3 linked regions of the Caenorhabditis elegans genome follow. The protein of the gene in region 3 interacts with the protein of the main gene of each other region in a pairwise test. Each region holds a gene or a part of one and is shown on either strand. Other genes may lie near its edges.

What was found. Proteins that work in one complex are often made in the same cells at the same time.
Region 1: the proteins of unc-97 (region 3) and uig-1 interact in a two-hybrid assay, tested with the Caenorhabditis elegans proteins (one study listed by BioGRID).
Region 2: the proteins of unc-97 (region 3) and rsu-1 interact in a two-hybrid assay, tested with the Caenorhabditis elegans proteins (2 studies listed by BioGRID).

The regions. Positions count from the first base shown.
Region 1 is NC_003283.11:13,288,427-13,295,851, forward strand, and holds the start of uig-1 (Protein vav), read right to left. Parts: upstream 3,967-7,425; coding exon 3,861-3,966; intron 2,291-3,860; exon of another isoform or gene 2,141-2,290; intron 751-2,140; exon of another isoform or gene 602-750; intron 1-601.
Region 2 is NC_003281.10:3,468,501-3,475,185, reverse strand, and holds rsu-1 (Ras suppressor protein 1), read right to left. Parts: upstream 3,184-6,685; 5' UTR 3,178-3,183; coding exon 3,090-3,177; intron 2,624-3,089; coding exon 2,535-2,623; intron 2,479-2,534; coding exon 2,277-2,478; intron 2,097-2,276; coding exon 1,828-2,096; intron 1,777-1,827; coding exon 1,618-1,776; 3' UTR 1,467-1,617; downstream 1-1,466. Other genes in the region: C34C12.9 (uncharacterized protein), read left to right, coding at 15-104, 686-931; smim-14 (Small integral membrane protein 14), read left to right, coding at 5,443-5,505, 5,934-6,137.
Region 3 is NC_003284.9:5,590,342-5,596,745, forward strand, and holds unc-97 (LIM domain-containing protein unc-97), read left to right. Parts: upstream 1-2,791; 5' UTR 2,792-2,820; coding exon 2,821-2,963; intron 2,964-3,019; coding exon 3,020-3,132; intron 3,133-3,182; coding exon 3,183-3,303; intron 3,304-3,350; coding exon 3,351-3,503; intron 3,504-3,554; coding exon 3,555-3,798; intron 3,799-3,842; coding exon 3,843-3,967; intron 3,968-4,025; coding exon 4,026-4,173; 3' UTR 4,174-4,624; downstream 4,625-6,404. Other genes in the region: sulp-2 (STAS domain-containing protein), read right to left, coding at 5,595-5,770, 5,820-6,087, 6,139-6,211, 6,266-6,372. UniProt on the Caenorhabditis elegans protein: Component of an integrin containing attachment complex, which is required for muscle development and maintenance. Probably function in adherens junction.

The sequences.
Region 1 (7,425 bases), on a different chromosome or scaffold from region 3:
GAAAATATGAAGGACATTCATCGTTTCTTCTTGCTTTTATAGATTTGCCCATAATCATCGTTTCTATTTCACATAACAAATCGCAATAAAAATAAAGGTTGTCATCGGTCAAAACGAAGAAATTGAGAAGAAATCGTCAAAACAACCGGATGGAAACTGAGGATTTGGAACAGTTATCAGTTGAAAAGAGAAAATGACAAAAGTATTGAACGAGAAAGAGACAAGTGCAAAGAAAATGAACGGAGTGGAGCAGCTCAGAGGTTTTTTCCGGGATTGCTCAAGTATATTTTCCAAGAGTTGATCTTAAGTGATTCGGGCGATTTTCAAGTTCGGATTATAAGAAATTGAACCGTACTCCTTGAATTGATATCTATAATTTATTTGTTTTGATTTAAATGTGGTTTTGTTTTCTCGAAACACACTTTTTTGGAAAAGACAGCGCAAAATTTAGAACTGTAAAGGCTACATACAGTAAAATGGATGTTTTAAGGTTCAAAATAATAATTTAAACAGAAAAGTATAGATCAATGAGCTGAAGAATAAATCAAAATCCAGAAGGAGCGGTTATATCATTTTCAACCGGCATCGTGTGAGAGTCCGTGTGGCTTTCCGATACTTTCTCTGCGTCTATTGATTTTCAGTTGATCTCTTGCCGCCTAATTCTCGGATATCACACGCACATCTTACGCAACTGTCGCGTAGAAATACACAATCATCACGCCAGACTCGCAAGGGGCGAGATCATGGTGCCAATACGAAAAACCGAGTAGTAGATGAGGAGGCAATCAGAGAATTAAGAACAACAACAACAATATATTGCTCTAAATCTTAAAATAAAATACTGGAATCTTGGTGTTATATTTATTCTTCACGATTGATGAGAAGAAATATTTCGAAATCAGTTTTATAATAATTCTCAGTGGCAAGGATATATAGATATTTTGGTGATATATTGAGCAATCAACAATATAATTTCAAAAATATTTGTGCTTAAATGTCGTGCAAAGCAATAATAAGTTCACTGTTTATATGGTCAATACGACTTCACTTTTTTATTTTCTAAGAGATTTGATGGTTTGGTCATTTGTCTAGCTCAAATTCAATGTTGATTCTAGCACTTCAAAAAGTATCAAAAAATAATCAAAATATTTCTTCTGAAATTTTGTGCAAAATAACAAAGTTCAGTTATTAACAACTTGGATGTCTTTGGTGTTATCAAACATTTGGTGATGTACAAATTGAAATTTTTGGCTTGAAAAAGATTCAAGGAGCAACAGAATTGAAGTGGCAGGTTTGAATTCGAAATCAAATATAATCAACAATTATTTTTTGAAAATGTGAATATCGTTTATCTCCAAACAATTCTCGAGTGCCGGCTTTTCACCGGAGCCGCCGCCATTGCCACCCAGCAGATAACAAATATTCAAATATTTTGTATTAGAAGAGAGATTATTGAATAACATTAGTCGCAGATGTTCTCCTCCACACTTTTCCGCGCACACACATTGTGGTGTAATTGTGGCTTCTAATATTTGACACTTTGAGCATTGAATGAAGGGAGGGAAAGGACGAACAAAAAAGCATTGAGAAAATGCGGCATGATTCCATTCAAGAAAATGGGCCGAGAAATATCTTGACTAAAAGACATTGATGGGTATTCTAGGATTCTGAGAGAAGAAGGAAAATGGAGGGGGGGGGAAAGATGCCATCGAAAACTGACAAATGACATTTTCTGGATGGGAGGTTGTAGTCGTTGTCCAAGTACTTTGCTACACTCAATTTGTTTAGATTACGAACTCATTTACACTTGTTTTTCGTCTATACAATGAAGAAAATGTAACTTTGGGTCAATTTTTTATGGAATTTACAATTTATAAACTATAGCTACTGACTATGATCTGGCAGAATTATTTTGTGGTGCACTTTTTGTCTTCAAAATTTGGTGATGGAAAACCTTGTATTTTGAATTTCAACTAATTACACGATGATGTAACCTATGCTTCAGAAAATTCTTGAAACCAAACAAAAACAATGCAATGCAAAATGTTCATATTCTACGCAATCGGCTGATTACATAAGAATTTTCCTAATCGAAACAATAATAAAACCGTTGCCGCGTCAACATTTAAATAGGCGCGTGAATCTGCGGAAGGGCATCAAAAGAGTTTCGGAGTGTGATGATGGACATAATAAAAATCATAATAATAATAACCATACGCATGGCATCCATGAAAATGCGCATGGGTGGCGTTTGAGGTCAACTTTTGTTGAATTATTATGATGATGTGAACTATTTGGATTTATTATATAAATTCGGAAATTTTGGAATTTCGAGTTAAATGTATATGTAGGTTTAAATGATGACTTGACTAAATTGAAATAAATAATTGTTTAGATTTTGTATGTTTTCAGAAAAAATGGAATGAAAAAATTTATAAAATGGGAAAAAAAAACTTAAATGAGTGTAACAATAAAATTTGGGATATAGTGTTTTGTTAAATTAAGACTATTAACATGAATGTTGGAGGACTGTAGAATTTAGAGAAACTAAATTTTCCAAGCTCCCAAAATGCCTTGCTAAACAAAATCGCTAGGTTGTGAATAAAATATTGACATTTAGGAAGGAAGAGAAAACTAAACAAAGGATGAGGTTATGTTTCCTAAAATTGGATTTAGTATTAGGTCATGCGGATTTTGCAACAAGCGAGAAGGATATGATTATGAGAAATGAAATTGAATTGTAACAACACGAACACGTACAAAATGATAATTTGTAAACTTTTCCTCCACCTTCTCTCTATATATCTCATTTCCTCAAGTTCTCATCAACTACTAAATCTTATGAACACTTGAGGTTCCTTCCAACATATCAAACAAGCTTCTCAATAAAATCAAACAGTTTTTTTTTCTAAACAATCTCACGTTCCAATTTCTCTTTAGTAAATAATAATTGAGAGAGGGCAAAAAATAAAATAAAAACTGCGATGGTTCGATCAAAAAGAGGTGAAAATCAGAAAAGCAAATGATTCGATGTGTGTCATCTCAACTAAAGAAAAAAAGGAAACTGTAGTAAACATCGACACGTTACACGAGAGCCAGGTTAAGAGGATGTAAAACAAACAAAACAATATGTGCCTTGATGATCGGACTTGGAAATTGAAAGTTTCTTTTTTTGTATGTATTTCTAAAGTTTTAATCGGGAGATGCGAAAATTGGTCTTGTAATACCGATGTTTGGTGAGGACTTTAAATGAGTGGGTCTCAAAGTTCGGAAGATCTTGGAAAATGGGAAAAGAGTTGGTAAAAGTTTTGCAGGTGATTTTTGCATTTCGTTTGAAAAACTTCAAAACATGCTCATGAAAATATTCAAATGGTTTACTCAGTACGATATGTTCTTCCTAAATTTACCTAGATAAAATCTGAAACATAAAAATGTTATGAAAAATAAAATAAAATTTATAATTTTTCATGACCCGTTGAATATCGACTCCCCTACGAATCAAAACATGGAACAGACAGAAGCTCAGCTACGTCACATTTGAGGTCAAATTTACAAGGATTGGGTATTTATTCTTCAATGTATGTAAGTTTGAAATAGCTGGTAGGCACGAAGGCAGTAATTTTTATTCCTATATGGATTTTTTTCGAAATTTTATTCAAAATGTCGAGTTTAGGGGAATGTTTTTTTTAAGTTTTTTGAGAGTAGAAATTATTAATATCTGATAAACTTTAGCCATTTTAAAAAAATTTAGCTTGCTTTTCTAATTGAATACTACATATTGAAAACAAAAGAGAGTTTGACAAATATGAAAAAAATCGAATCACAATAAAAAACTATTTTACGTTAAAAAAAAATCACACCTTGTAATTGAACAGTCGGCTCATCGTCATTTGCACATTCAGAGAACTGTTGCTTATCTTCGTAGTAGCTGAATCTCCTGCGGAACCAGGAAAATCCAATCGACATTGCACCTTCAGAGAGAGTAAGATTTAAATCGGTAAAAGAAACGAAAGAAAATTGAAAGATTGAACGGTAAAGGAAGTTGGCAGTTTCAAAATAAATCTTTTGATTTCTTGCTTTAATCCTATTAACTGGACTTGAAACCGAAGAAATGGATACCTAGGGTAAAAACTTGAAACAAAGTTCCACAAGCAAGGTTTTTCATCAAATTATAGCATTAATGTTCCACTTTTTTGCGTCTTGTTTTCTGGTCAAATTCTATTCGGTTTCTATTCAAAGCCGATGAAACATGGGAAATTCAGAAAATTGTGGGAATATGATCGCATCGGAAATACAAGTAATTATAGGGGGATTGACCGAAGAAACGTCGCTCTAGCGTTCAGAAACCTTCTGAACCACGCGAAGGAACAAATAAATTGGCACAATAAGAAGATGTTGAAGTCAGTGAATACCAAACGGAAGATTGAAAGTGGTGGTGGTGGTAATGTAGGAATGTAAGAAAGAAGAGTCAACTTGATACTTGTGCGCAGGGTTCGTCACACTACTTGGTCCCGTATTTACACTCCTAATACGGCCCGTGCGGAGTTTTAATACCAAACGAGAGAGGTAAACTGTGTTGCCAAAGAGCAATCGGAGGAAGATGCTCCCTTTTGAATTACCGCAATTCCTTTATTAATATGATTGCTAATAGTAAGATAATTTTCAAAGACCGTCGTTATTGCTAGACCAATGCATTTAAAATTTTTGGTTGCTCATCTGAAATTAGTAGTTTATCAATTCCAAAAATTCAATTTCTTGGCTTTTCATGAATTAACTGGAATCATCGAACAAGAATAATAATAACAAAAAAACCTCCGTTCAAAATAGGTAAGTAGCTATTTTTTTAAAGGTATTATAGGCATAATAGTAATAGAAGAAAAACGGTAGAAACCTTATTTAAAAAATTGAAAATAATTGTATCAAAAGTTATAAAACTAGTTTTTTAACAACTGTATTCTTAGAAAAAAAGCTATCCACCTCTAAACGGTCTCCACAGAATAAAGAAGAACAAGCTCATCTTCACCAAATGTTTATTGCCTTGTTTCGGTTTCGGTTCAGTTTATAAGTGGTTGGAGGATTATCGGAAAGATTCACTAGTTCTATATTCTGAATAAGAAATGTGCAAATAGATGAACAACTCTTACGGACAGAGTTCATGAATGAGGGCAATGCTGGAAAGTGTCAATAATGCTTATCAGCTTATTTTACGTTTTTTGGGCTGATGTTAAACCCTTTTTTTAGAAGTACCATTTTTGAATAGATGAACGCAATAAAAAATAATTTTGTGGGGAATACCAATGATATATTTTTTTAGAAAAGTAGTAAAATTATGTAGCATGTTCACCATTTAAAATAATTTAGTTTCGGGATTGCCAACTTTTTGCAAAGTTGAAACAAAAAGAGCTCACGATTTAAAAAAATTAGGTTTTTATTTCGCCAAAAATCACTAGCCTCGAAGCCATTTAGGCAATATGAAATCAAAAACCAAAAAGTCTTTCAAATAGCAGTTCCCTATTATTTTATGTGACTTGTCAATTGGAAAATTGTGAGAAAAGAAAAAACAAAGCTATAAATCTGGAACAGATCCAAGATCCAATGTAATCTCAAAACACAGAAAGGTGTCGAAAGAGTCAGAGAGAACGGCAAGTGGATATGCTCTCAAATGGAGTGCTCATTTGCAAACGGGGGAGGAGAGGAACCTGTTTATTTATCTGACGCATCACAATAAGACTCTTTTTCTTATTTCGATTTTTTGATTTATTACTTCAATAAGAAAAACGCACAAAAAAAGAGGCCATTGGCATATAAATGTGAGAAAAAGAAGAATTGGATGAAAAGAGTTGTGAGTGTGCGTGTGTGGCAATTAGTCCAAGTGACACTCAGCCTTTGAACATCGTTCATCGTGTATCACTGATAAATGACAACTGCCTCAGGTATTTTGGAAATCTTTTTTATCTCCGGCGGCTCTTTTGACCTACTCTGAACTTTTGCTCTGTGCTTTGGAATAGAGACTAAGAACAGGGAACTTTCAACAGAAATTGGACACTTTGAAAGCCTTGTAGACATGGAGCATATTATCTTTCGGGGTTTTTTTTTTGAAAAAGTTTAAAGTTGGTTAAGCGACAAAAATACGTTTCTTCCAAGTTTTGAAAACCGAAAAACCGAGCCTTTCCATTTTTGGACTCAGAAGTCAGAGGCTGAGGAAGGCAAAGAAAATTAATTGATTTATGAAAATAAAAGAGCACTCTTGTCTTTTCCTGCCGACAACCGCACCGGAAAACTGCACACCAGATGGGTAAAAATGATGAATTAGATTAGATCAACGGAAATGGACAATGAGATTTGCGGTACCAGAGACACAAAAACATTCGAGGTGAAAGGCTACGTGTCACTGGAATAATATTCAATGCATCAAGGGAATATGCCCTTTGTCAATTGAAACTTTTTTTGAGGGCGAACTTGGGAATGTGGCAAGCAACTTTTTGGCAATATGGAATCAGAGGATAGTTAGGTTCACTGTAATTTCAAGCTTCTTTCAGAGTTTAATATCTCATAGCTAAAAGCAAATGCAGGCAGCAGTTTGCAAAGTTGACTAAAAAAGGCAATTTACTTTTGTCTTACAGCTTGGTATAAAATTAAAAGTTAAAAAGATTCCGTTGTGAAATTGAACACATCACATCCGACAAAATTCCAAGTAAATATAGAAAAAAAAACAGGACATTCTAAAAAGGTTTGCAATTTATAATTGTAAGTGCTTCGAGGTAAAAACGGATAATTAAAAATTTTATAGTTTTCAGAACTAGTCGCGCACTTGCTCAAATATCGAGTGGAGGATATAGTTTTTTAATTTTTTTCAGAAATGTTAAAAACTTTAAGTTCGGCATTCTCAAATTTATTTTGAATTATTTGTATTACTTCTTGAGCAGTTTTCATTCATTTTGAATATTTTCTCAATCGTGAAGCCCAAAGAAAATCCTGTAGTGATTTCAGAAAATCTAACTAAGTCACACTCCCAGTTTCTAGATATGCTTCAATTTCATCATAGATTAAAAAGATAAGTGAATGAAATGTAACTCCTAGACGTTCAATAATATGATAACCTTTTAAACTCTCGACCTATTTCACCCAGCTGCCCCGTATAAAAATACGTCTATCTTCTCCGGATACCATGTTTGCCAATGCATTGTGCACAACAAAACCATCTGTCGATCATGTGAAAAAGGGGAGGAAATGCAGTGAAATAGGGCATTTCTGTTCAGAAAAGAAAAGGCACACGAACACACAAAAAGAGAAACCCTACAATTCACCGCATAACATGTAATTTTTGTTTTCTTTCATTGTTTTTTGAACTAACCTACTAAATAAATGAACCGTCGTCTTCTTGTTTCGTCATTCATCATTCATTCTTACAGGACAATAGTAGTA
Region 2 (6,685 bases), on a different chromosome or scaffold from region 3:
CGATTTAATTACAGGAGTCACACGCGGATGACGTAGCACCGTGTCATAGCAGAAAAGCCTCTTCAGTGGGCTTTGTGGAGATTGATGAGCTGTTGAAGTTTCAGGTGAGATTTTAGGCCAGTCAGGGCTATCCCAAAAAGTTTTTGACCAGAGTTTTTCAAAATTATTTTCCTAATATCTAAATATTTTGTTGTTTGACAAACTACACTTTTTCTGGCTCGAAATAACGAAAAAAACAAGTTCAAAAGATCTGGAGACAATATTTCAGTCAATCAAAAACTTGCGCGTGAAATCTGATGCATTGATTATTCGATGGTCCAAATTTTCCGCACAAATTCAAAAATTCAATGCACAAAAACACACGGTGTCCACGTGGAGTCAGAAATTCCCATTTCGGTTTGATCTTCAAAAAATGCGGGAGATTATCTTACCTGATTTCGCATGGTTAAGAACGTGCTGACGTCACATTCTTTTGGGCAAAAAATTCTCGCATTTTTTGTAGATCAAACTGTATTGAGACAGCCTGACATCACGTGGGTATCAGGTTGTATTTAAATCAGTTGAAAATTCTGCGTCTCTTCTCCCGCATTTTTTTTAGATCTACGTAGATCAAGCCGAAATTGGAAACTCTGGCACCACGTGCAAAAATCACTTCTCAGAACTCCAAATAAATAAAATTTTCCAGGACGACTACAAAGTTCGCTCGTCGACAGGCTTCTACTCATCTCTCCGAAATCTTTTTTCAACTGGAAACCCTTCAACAACCACAACAATCTCATCAATACCAGAATCCCATATAAATCCAATGTTCGCAAATCATGAGAAATGCTCAATTTCGAGAAGCTTCACACATCTACCGTACCCGCCGAAGAAGAAGAGGAAAAGTCACTTGAGACGCGTTTTTTCGTGCTTTTCGATTTTTAAACATTAGGATCTATTTTATTGTGTGTTTAATAGGTACTGGTGAAGTTTTGAATTTGCGCGTAAGATATGGTGCATCGTGACTGGTGCCAATGACGGCTGTCATAATTAATTCATCCCAGTGGCCGAGTAGTCAGAATGTCCCATTTCGGTTTGATCTACGAAGATCTACAAAAAATGCGGGAGTAGAGTTCTCAACTGATTTTGCATGATTAGAGGACGTGCTGCCGTCATGCAAAAATTCCCGCATTTTTTGTAGGTCAAACCGTAATGGGGCAGTCTGACACCAGTATTGCACCGAAAACTATCAAAGACACAATAATTCTGCTAATATTATTATGTTTCGATTATTTTTCAATTTGTTAAAAATTCCCTTTACTGGTTTTCCTGGCTTCTGTCATATTTTGGTTCCCCAATTCCCCTTCCTATCACGCATAATTTTATTAATTTTTTATTACATAATCTAGTCTTACCATGAATTCTCTGCTGACCAACGCAAAATCCAAACAAGTTTTTGCATAATTTTTGAATAAAATGATGATTTTTGTCTCGATAGAATTTTATTAGTATTTCTTATTTGCAGTGTAAAAAGGCACAATTAAATGATTGAATTCAATTCAATATTGAACAAAGTAAAGCATTATTTAGGCAGCACCATGAGTAGGTCAAAAAATTTTTTGGGTTGAAATGGCAATTTTAGGCTTGTTGAATTCCTTTTCTCGATACTTTCTTCTCCTTATTTCTTTTTGGTGGAACTGGAGTTGACGATGGTTCCTGACGACCGAAGAAATATCGATAGTCGTCAGTTCTGATGTGAGCCCAGACTCCGGCGGCTCCGTTGGCCTCGAATTGCTCCTAAAATCACAGAAAATTTTTAAATAAAAAATAAATAAAATATATATGTACCTCAATTCTCGGAATAAATGGATTGTGCTCCAATCTGAGCACCTGCTTTGACCCGACCAACTCCAAATTTCCGAGCTCTGGTGGAATCATAGCCAGACGATTTCCCTGAATATGAAGCTCACGGAGACGTGTCAGCTTTCCCAGCTCTTTTGGAAGAGTGAGCAAATCGTTTTCACGGAGCACGAGGATTTGCAAATTTGTAAGATTTTCGACGTCTCCGGGGAGCATTTCGAAATCATTGTCTCCGAGGTACAAGGCGCGGAGGGTTTCTGGAAATTGGGAGAGGTTTTTTCGGAGAAGGGAACACCGGATGCCCCAGATTCAGCTTTTTTAACTGATGTAGTGTACAACATCACATTTTTCTGGGCGAAACGTTCCCGCATTTATTGTAGATCAAACTTATTCCAGTCCTAACAAGAATTTAAAATTCCAATTTTTCCCCCACTTACGCATAAAGAAAAAGTTTCCAGGCAATGATCGTTCACTCAAATTGTTGTAGGTCAAATCAAGAATTTCCAGCTCTGGGAAGGATCCGAATCCACGTGGCAGAATCGACAGCTTGTTCATTCCGACGTTAAGAATTCGAAGTTTTGGAAGAGATGAAATCGATGGAGGTAGATCCTCGATTTGGTTATTCCACAAATTCAGGGACTGCAATTTTTTAAAGATTGGATTAAGAAGATTACCTTGATGTAGGGTTGGCTTACCTGAAGACTGACCAAATCCGCAATATTTGGTGGTACTGAAGTGAGCTTGTTGTGGCTCAAAGTGAGACGAGTGATGATTTCCGCATCGACTGGAATTCAATTTTTGGAAGATTTCGAAAATTTATCCCGCTTAGGCTTAAGTCTGAGCCTAAGCGTAAGCCTAAGCCTAAGCGTAAGCCTAAGCCTAACATAAGCCTAAGATTGAGCCTAAGCCTAAGCCAAATCCTGAGCCAGCGCCTGCGCCTGCGCCTACGCCTAAACCTAAGTTTAACCCTCAGCCTGAGCCTAAGCCTAGGACTAAGCCTAAGATTGAGCCTAAGCTTAAGCCCAAGCCTGAACCTAAGCCTCAGCCTAAGAAGCAACACATTTATTTTGATCTACAGACCCAATGCACCGTATTTGACGCGCAAATTCTATTTACGATTTTCCCGCGGAGGAGCTGAGCACAGAGCAACAGCTGCTGCTCCGCCAGATCAATTTCTAATGCATACGAAACCATGGAATAATTGAAGATTTGCGCGTCAAATGTGGCGCAGAGCTCAAAAAAATGCTTACTGAGATGTGAAATTTGAGAAAACGACGAAATATTCCGATCGACATGCTCAACCTCTGTCACTTCGTCTTTCTTCTTGTCCTTTGGCATTTTTACCTGAAATTTTAATTTTTTACATCCTTTTTTTGTGGATAGGAAATGGTGCTTCGCGAGTTGATAAACGATAAAATCAGTGTTAAATATGACTATTTTCATACTTTGACATGGTGCATCGACACAAAAATTTGAAGAAATAGCAATTCCAAAGATCTTTTTCACTTTCTCACTTTCTAATCCTCTATTAAATATAATTGCGGAAGAACTAGCAAAAAAATGGGAAAAAAAGGAAACACAGCTGGAATACCATTCAAGGGGATTCCAACGAGATAGTACATGAACCTGTAAAGACACAGAGACATATATTTGTTGAGAGAGGGGACGAAAGACGAAAGAAAAAGAAGAAATGACAGCGAATCGTAGGCGGAATGGACGTGTGTGGGGTGAGATGGGGGGAAAAGGAAAGTGTGTACAGCGAGAGAGTATTACACTGTTGGAGAGACGCAGGGTGCTGGAGACATTTCAGTTTGCCAAGAGAACGATGAGAAGCAGTGAAAAGTTCATTGAGCGATGGGCGGAAGGAGGATCCTCCTTGAGGAGAAGGTTACATTTTTATTGATTGATTTTTTTCGGGCCCATATTGCGATCAATTCTATTTTTTGAAAGGTTTGGGTTTTGTGTGTTTTTTCTAGATTTTCCTATTTTTTAAAGATTTTAAATTTCTAAATTTTAATCTTCGGCATCAAAAAATTTTAGATATTAGATTTACACAAATTTTTTTTTCCTTTTTTCTTATTTTTAATCTAAAAAAACAAATTTTTTCTTCAAAATGTTCGTCTTTTGGTACACCTCTAAAGGGGCACAAGTAAAATCTAAGTGATGGGTCTCGCAACGAACTACTACTAATTTTAAGTTCTTGAGGCGCGCCTTTAAGGTTACTGAAGGCAGCATTTATTGATTTTTAATTATTTTTAATCATTTTGTCTTAAGATGGCAAAAAGCGATAAGAAAAAATTCAGTAGAAAGAGAGAAAAAGGTAAACATTTCGATTGTCTCGTCGTCTTTTTTTTTTGCTTCATTTTCTCTCTTTTTTCACTTTTTAGTTTAAAAAAGCAAAAAAAAAAATTAATTTCCTTCCGTTCAGTGCCCATAAATCCGTTTATGAAACGTCATCAATATCTCTAAGCCCTCTTTTCTCTCTCACAGTATTCCAAATAAACAAAAAAAGATGTCTCTTCCTCCCTGCCAACCAACAGCCAACGTCAGTTTTTAAAATGAAATTTTTTTTTTCTAAAAATTGGCCAAAAAACCGATTTTTAGACTGAAAAAAGGCTTTAATGTCCAAAAATAATCAAAATTATCGATTTTCGACACGCTCGTAAATTAATTAGTCTTGTCAGTTGTCGTCAATTATAATGAATTACATCCCCGAGAAAAAGTAGATCAAAGACCGGTTTATCCCTCCCGACAGATACGGAATGTGTGTCCGCTTCCGATCAAAAGGTTCTCTTTTTCTTATTTTGTAGTCTGTGTGGAGGATACACTTGGTGATTAATTATTATTTATCGGCCTAAAAAATGGTTTTATATTTTTATAATACCCAGACGTGAAATTTTGCGATTTTTGCGCCCCGGGGCTCGACACGACAATTTTCTTATTAATTGCAAAAAAGGTGTACGCCTTTAAAGAGAATTTTCAACAATTTTAATTTTTTTTTTAAATAAAAATATATTTATTTAATGAAATCGAATAAATTTTTAACAATTCGTGACAAAAACTACAAAAAAATCTATGAAAATTCCGTAACTACAACAAAAGTTCAAAATTACAGTACTCTTTAAAGGCACACATTTAAAGTCACATGTATTTGAGAGAAATGTGTCGTGTCGAGACCCTGGTACCGGTACCGTAATCGCAAAATTGGGTAATAATGCTCAAAAATTTTTCAACTCTTCAGCAACATTTTTTGGTAATTTTTTAGAGAAAAAACACAATTTAGGCTAAAATCCGGAAACAACAAAAAACTGGCCGAAATTCTAATTTCACCATTTTTTGCTCTGAAAGCATTATTTTTTCACTTCTTCAAGTCATTAAATTCATGAAAAATGTGCATGGTTTCCCATCACAACCCGTCGTCTCCCAGCTGATTTTTTGTCTGTTTTCTCTCGCAATCTCTCCCCATTGAGCAATATTTTTGTAAGGCAACGTTGCATTGCCCACTTTTTTTTATTTTTTATTATATTTTCCCGTCCACGTTCTCTGTTCGTTTCATTTCTCGATTCTGTGAAGTTCAACGACGGAAACTCGCAATTTCAGAGAATGAGTGATCCGTGTGAATGTTTCTTCGATCATGAATCTGCTATGCAAAGACTTTTGGCTATGGTAAGGGAAATAATTATGGAAATATTCGGGGTTTAGCGCGAAATTTGCCAATACAATTTAAAAAAAACAAATTTTCGGCTCTCGACTCGATAAATTTGATATGAAATGCTAAAAGGTGTGCGCATTTAAAGAGTACTGTAGTTTCAAACGTTTTTCTGTTTTTATCGCTTTCTTCTGGTTCAAAAAATTATTATATTTTTGTCGAAAAACTACTAAAAATCTATGAAAATTCCGCAGCAACTAAACTTTGAAACTACAGTACCCTTTAAAGGCGCACGCCTTTTTCGCAGTTAACAAAAAAATAAAAAATTGTCGTGTCGAGACCCCGACGCACAAAATCACAACATATCGTATCTGAATACCCATTGCAAATCGTCATAAAACTCCAAAAAAAAAAAATGTTTTTGAAAAAAATCAAAATTTTGCAGCTCCGAAACTCGCAAGCGGACTGCACAGATACGGGTTGCGACAATGATGGTTTGAGTCGTGAAGGTGGCAATACAATGATGATGTGGACACTTTTATGGACATTTATGGCAATGGCACTTTACGTGATGAGACCCAATTCAATGAGATCTGATAGAAGAACCGCCGATGATGCAGCAATTGAAAAACCAACTGGAAGTTCTGATGTTAGTATTGTCAAGTTCGGATTTATCACAAGAGCGCAGAAAACCCGCTCCACGGCCAATTTTGGGTCTCGCCACGAAAAATTAAAATTTCGGGTGTGCGCCTTTAAAGTACTACGGTACTTTTTGCACAAGTATCTTAATTTTATTGTATTAGAGAGACGCAGAAAAAATCACCTGTGAAATCGATGTGAAAACACGCTCCACGGCTAAACGTAAAAGCTCCGCTCCCCAACAGTTGGGTCTCGTTAGGAATTTGGCGGGAAAACCGGATTTTCAAATTTTCAAGCAGTTTTCGTTGTTTTTAATGTATTCTCTATCCCAAATCGAAAAAAAAACAATAATTTCGGCATAAAAATCAGCGAAATTCCCAGTTTTTCCGCCAAATTCCTAACGAGACCCAACTGTTTGGGGGCGGAGCGTTTTCAATTGGCAGTGGAGCGCGTTTCTGCGTCTCTAATCTTTTTTTTTTGTGCCCGCCCGGCAATACATTGACCGGTCAATCAGTTATCAGAGACGCGAAAAAAGAAATCATCACCGGGTTTTATAGG
Region 3 (6,404 bases):
ATTTTTTTCAAAAAAAGGAACTTATTTGGAAAATTTCTCCAGTCAGTTTAAAATACTAAATTTAGTTTCAAAAATAAGTTCCTATTGTTATTACGTTATTCAATTCAATTACGTTTCCAATTGTAAATTTTTCAGCACTTCTGATCCGATAGGCAAGCCGATCAAGGAACGGTATAACTTTAACGAAATGGACCGTAATCTTTCCGCACTGGTCAAACCACTTTGGGCAGGAAATGAAAAAGAAGATCGTGCTGAAAAAGACGATAGTACATCATCTTGATCTGCTCCGGCTCCCCTCCCTGTCTGTGTGATTCTTTTTGTTTCTTTCAATTTTATCCTATTATTCCAATTCAACGCTGATGCATTACTATTGTTGTCATATTTCATTTCTGTCATTTTTTAATCAAATGTGCTGAACATTAAAAATTATCTGATCTCTTGAATCCCTTGTCTTGTTTTATGAATAAAAGTAATATATCAAAAAAAAAAGTCGAATGGAACTGCTGAAAGTGCTCCTTTTAGTGCGCATGATATTTTTCACACATATTTTTTTTGAAACGGTTTTGATCCGTGTCCAGTATCCATATTTGATTTTTTTAAAAGAAATTTTAAAAAGTTTGTGTAGACAATTCAATGTTTAGTTTTCCCTTTCAAGCTAGTTTTCACTAACAGGAAGATGCTATAAAACTATGAAACGAAAAACTTCAAGAAAAGGAAATTGAAAAATTGTGATCTACACAAATATTTTTCTAACATTTTCAAATGTGGATGATGAACACCAGACATTCGTGGCAACTGTAGACCAACTATTTTATAAAATGAGCCAGTTTGGCATGTGCTCACAAACTTTTTTATGGAAATTCAGAATATGGAAAACTACTTACTTTCTCTGAAAATAAGATTTTTTTAGTTGGGAAAATAGGACATTTTTGAAAGATTTTTCATTTGATGTTTTAACTTTCGGATTAATTGTGAGCACTTTTTAAATTGTTCCAACTGAAATTAAAAATATTTTTAGACAAGCTAAAGATTTTTCGATATCACTGAGTTTCAATTAAAAAATTTTGAGAACATGCCACACTGGTTCATTTTGTAGAAACTCACTTTGAAACTTATAGATTTGTGTAATAAAATACTCAGTTTAGAATTTATACACTGCTCCGAAAAAAGTCGGTCCAAAAACCTCTGTTATCGGTTTACGATCTTCTAGAAAAAGCGGTGGTATTTCTCAACACTGCGCACAGCTGTTTGGCAGGTGGAGGCATTTCTACTGGCAGAGGACCTCATTCTATAATGTCATCATTTCAAAGTTAGTCATTGTTTTCAAGCTACAATTTCTGGATTTTTGTCATCCTGATATATGATACTAGCTCATGATCAAGGCCAGTCGTAAGAATATAAAAACACAAACGAAGGTCAGATACTGAACATTTATCTGCCAACATTTGCGGGGTTCGTACTTTTCAACCATGTCTTTTGATTTCTCATATCTAAACTGATGATCCTTTCTTATTCTCACAACTGTCTATAAACATGTGTTAGAAAAAGCTTGTTCCTGCCTGTTCCGAGTATCAACGAGCAGCAATACTTGGCTATTAATGTGACCCTACGCACGCAACCCGATTGTATGCGTCTCTTCGAATCGCGCACTCTTCCCGGAGTCGTTACGTCTGCGGCCGTAGTCTGTGACCCCCCGCTTGGCTGTCGGCCAACCCGCCGCGCGCGCATTGCCTCTCGCTTTCTTCCACTCTTTTTAGTTGTACATTCTGCGCACTTTCTTTTTGCCCAGTAAATGCCCATATCACTGTGTGAGGAAAGTTGATTTTCAACAACTATTATCATTTTTAAGGTGTTGTTTATAACTATTACTATGTTTAAATATAATTCAAAACTTTATAGTTTAGCCGTATAGAAGTTGTATTGAATTTTTGGTTTCATTTTTACAACTAGTTTTATTTTTAAATGCAAACACCACAAAAGAAGCATTGTTGCTTTCCTCCGTTGCATCTCAAAACATCTGGTGTAATACATGTATCACATTTTGAAGCGTGAAATGTGCCGCTTCACTGAATTTTGTTATGTAGAGTAGTACATAGAAAGTCAAAAAAAAATCGAAATAACTAGTTCGAATTTTTTCCCATTTAAACACACGATATCCCAACCGATGTTTCTGAAGAATCTTTTTTCTGTTCCCAATCAATACTGATCATCAACACATCGGATACACGTCTCCCTCTGTGAGTTAGTCAGGGAAGCTGAGGCATCCTGTTGAATCTGTTGTGCAGCAGCACTCACACACATACTTTTGTTGTTCACTTATATCTCTATCTCTTGGTTCGTTTTCATTCTTTACACAAAATGCAATGGCAAAAGCTTCCACGCCACCGCCTCCGAGTTCTTCTTACACATATGTCAACCCGTCGCATCCTATACCTTTGGCACATTTGCCTCTTCCTTGAGGATTTCTTCTTTTCTACTGTTTCACAGCCCCCTCGTATAATACCTCCAGTGTTTTTACGATTCTTAGAATATGGAAATTTCTGTGTTTATGCAAAAATTTACTTTGCATATAACAAAATGTAGATATGAAATTCTGACTTTTTGTGCTCTTTTCGATTAACCAACATACCTAACCTATACACACTATATGCTTTCTCCGGCTTTCCCTTGTTTGTACATATTTGTCTTCATATTACTCGCTCGCTTTCTTTTCTTCTTTCCTACCCCCACCTTTTTCCTTACAAACCCATGGTCGTTAAACCATCCTGTGTGCATAGTGGCCAACTTTCAGTGGTTCAATAATAGATGGTGTGTGGCGGAATGGATTCCGACCACAACCATATCAACGGGGATCTCGCCCATGGCTTCGAGAACATGGTGTGCGTCCGTTGTAATGATGGTTTTTCGATGCAAGATCAGATGGTGAACTCTTCCGGGCAAGTATGGCATTCGGAGTGTTTTGTGTAAGTTTTTATAAGTTAGAATTAAGAGAACTCAAAAATTGCAAAAAAATTTTTAGATGTGCTCAATGCTTTGAGCCATTCCCAGACGGCATCTACTTTGAGTATGAAGGACGAAAGTACTGCGAGCATGACTTCCATGTTCTGTTCTCACCATGTTGTGGAAAATGCAGTAAGTATCTTTGAGAAGACACGCAGAGCCATAAATGTTTTATATTCTAGACGAGTTCATCGTTGGACGAGTGATTAAAGCAATGAATGCCAGCTGGCATCCGGGATGTTTCTGTTGTGAGATTTGCAATAAACAGTTGGCCGATGTCGGATTTTTACGGAACGCTGGACGGTAAGTTGGAGAGCGTAAACGAAGCTCGAAAGAATTTCAATTTTCAGAGCTCTCTGTCGCGAATGTAACGAACGGGAAAAGGCAGCAGGTCATGGACGATATGTGTGCCACAAATGCCACGCAATGATTGATGATGGACAACACATCAAATTCCGTGGAGATTCATTCCATCCTTATCACTTTAAGTGCAAACGTTGCAAGTAAGAATTTATCTTGTTTTACAGTATGAGTTGAATTTAAAAAATTTTCAGCAATGAATTAACGACAGCTTCTCGTGAAGTAAACGGAGAGCTCTACTGTCTCAGATGCCACGATACCATGGGTATCCCAATTTGTGGAGCATGTCACAGGCCGATTGAAGAGCGTGTCATCGCGGCACTCGGCAAGCACTGGCACGTGGAGCACTTTGTCTGTTCCGTCTGTGAGAAGCCATTCTTGGGACATCGTCACTACGAGAGAAAGGGACTTCCATATTGCGAACAGCACTTCCACAAGGTACTTGAAATATGAACAAGCAAACATTAATAAGTTTGTTGCAGTTATTCGGAAATCTTTGTTTCAAATGCGGAGATCCATGTTGCGGGGAAGTATTCCAAGCTCTTCAGAAAACGTGGTGTGTCAAATGTTTCTCCTGCAGTTTTTGTGATAAGAAACTTGATCAGAAGTGAGTGCAAAACTATTCATATGAACTTGATGAAAACAAATTAATGTATGCATTGCAGAACGAAATTCTATGAATTCGATATGAAACCAACATGCAAACGATGTTACGATCGGTTCCCCACAGAATTGAAAAAGCGCATCTCAGAAAGCTTAAAGGACCGCGACGTTGAAAATCAAAGAAGATCGATGAGTCCTGGACCAAAATAATAAAAAAGAAAGAAATAAAGGAGTCCCCGTAATTCATCAATTTCCATTAAAGAAGTAATACTTTCCAAATGCCATTGCTCATTTCTCTTTCCCATTGTTTTTAATACCTTGGTGCTAAAAAAAAACATCGTGAAAATTGTTATCAATCCGTTTTGTCTTTTAAATGCCTTATATTTCAAAACTATTTTTCGGTCACACAAAAATGTCATTGTACTCATTTCTAGCTCCATAATTGTCCTTCCCCTTCCCTTTCCCAGCTACTTTTTGATTCAGAAGCCTTCTGAAAACAATCATAACTTTCGACCAAATTTTTTGTGTTCCTATCCGCAAAAACTTTGCATCTTTTCTCGGGTGTCATTATTGCATAACTTGATTTCTGAATTTTTGTACTATTTTTTTGTTCAGAAAAAAAATATTGACTGTATTGAAACAAAATCGTATTGTAATATTGAATCCTTTTTTTCGGCATCAACAATCAATTTGTAATCAGTGATCAACAGGAAGGTGAGTCCATAGCGCCCGGAGAGATATTTTTGGTTCAACTTGAAACGTGTTAAGTGAGAATTATACTTTCCAGTGTCAAAATGTTTGTGAAATTTCTAAAAATACGAATGAGCCAGTAGAAATGATCGTATTGCACTTGAAATTCTCTTGGGAATTTATTTGTTGAAGCTTCAAAATGTGAAAGAAAAATTGGGCTATTCCAACAAAAAACGACTTTCATCGTTTTTTTGCTCAGCAAACTCTGTTTGATCATTTTACATAAAGATGAAATAGAGTCGATGATTTTTTTTTAAATTCAAAATGACAAAAAAAATTCAGTTTCCAAGAAGTTAATTTCGTTAAAAAATAAATTTTCAATTATCGATTATTTGAAGAATTTCCAACAAAATTCTTCTTTTTTATCAATTTTTTTTTTGGTTTTTTTTTGTGGAAAAGTCTAAAATTTTGTAAGATTCTGTTATTACTCAAAAATCACAAAAAAGGACAAAAAACTGACACAACTGTAAAAAACAAACATATCAAAATTAGGTAATTTAGTTACGCGGGTATGGGAAAATAATTCAATACTTTCTATTTTTTTTTGTTGCAAAATTTAACAATTAATTAAAAAATTCAGAAAAATTCAATGATTTTTTAAACTGTTGTGCTTATTATAGTGCAACTTTTTTCCAGTCATTGAGACCAAAGAATCCATAGATGTTATTCCATCTTTTTCCAAATTTTATTTATTGACAAATATCTAATTAGTTTAAAAATCTAAAATCAAACCTCAATTTACGGTAACTTTATTGAAAACTTGAAGCATGAGCAAGTTTAACAAAAATTTCAAATATTGACCCAATAATTACACATATTATGACCCATATGATTAACAAGTTGATCAATTGATAAAACTGATAAATAATGATCTATGTATTCTAAGGCACAATCTTTTCTGGCGGCATACTTTTCTCGCAATCAAAAAACATTTTATGATTTTTAATTAATTCGTGAGCAGAATCCAGCGCATCTTGAATGGAGGGATACATTTGATTTCTTCCAATATTCCCTTCTCCAATCAGGCCAGCATTTCCATATTGTCGTCGGAGTGATGCTGAAATATCCCAGCTAAGGTTATAATTGTTTAAAAATTTTAAACTCACACTTCAGATTTGCAAACAACAGGAGTATACGAATTTGTCGTAATTCTTCATTAATTTGCTTCACCGCAGCAATCCCCATAGAATCCGTATAAATCCAAGTGTGGCAGTCAAGAATGATTGCACTCCACTCAATATCCTCTTGGGAATCGCAACTCGCGCTTCTCTTTTTTGTGGTGGCTGATGTCGAATCGCGAACGTTATCGAGAAACTTCTCAACGTTTGCGAAAATCAGTGGTGCATCAAATCTAATGATTCGGAACGATGTTTCCTTGAAAAATAAGTTTTTGGAAAAAAGTTGTCAGAGGGAAATTAAATTTACCTTTGCCAAGCTATAGTGATTCATTGGTCTAAAATCATTTGGTCGGATTTGCCCAAGAAGTTTAATCGTAGGTCTGAAAAATGTCGAAAAGCTATGTCAATTTTGCGTGTTAAATCTACAAACTCACTGCTGAGATTGTATTGCAATTGTAAAAATTGCCGTGAAAATTCCAGCAGCTACCCCTTGCGCAATATCGGAACTTAGAGTCACAACAGCAGTAATGATCCAAATCCACTGAAATTATTTTGGTTTAAAAATTATTTTGG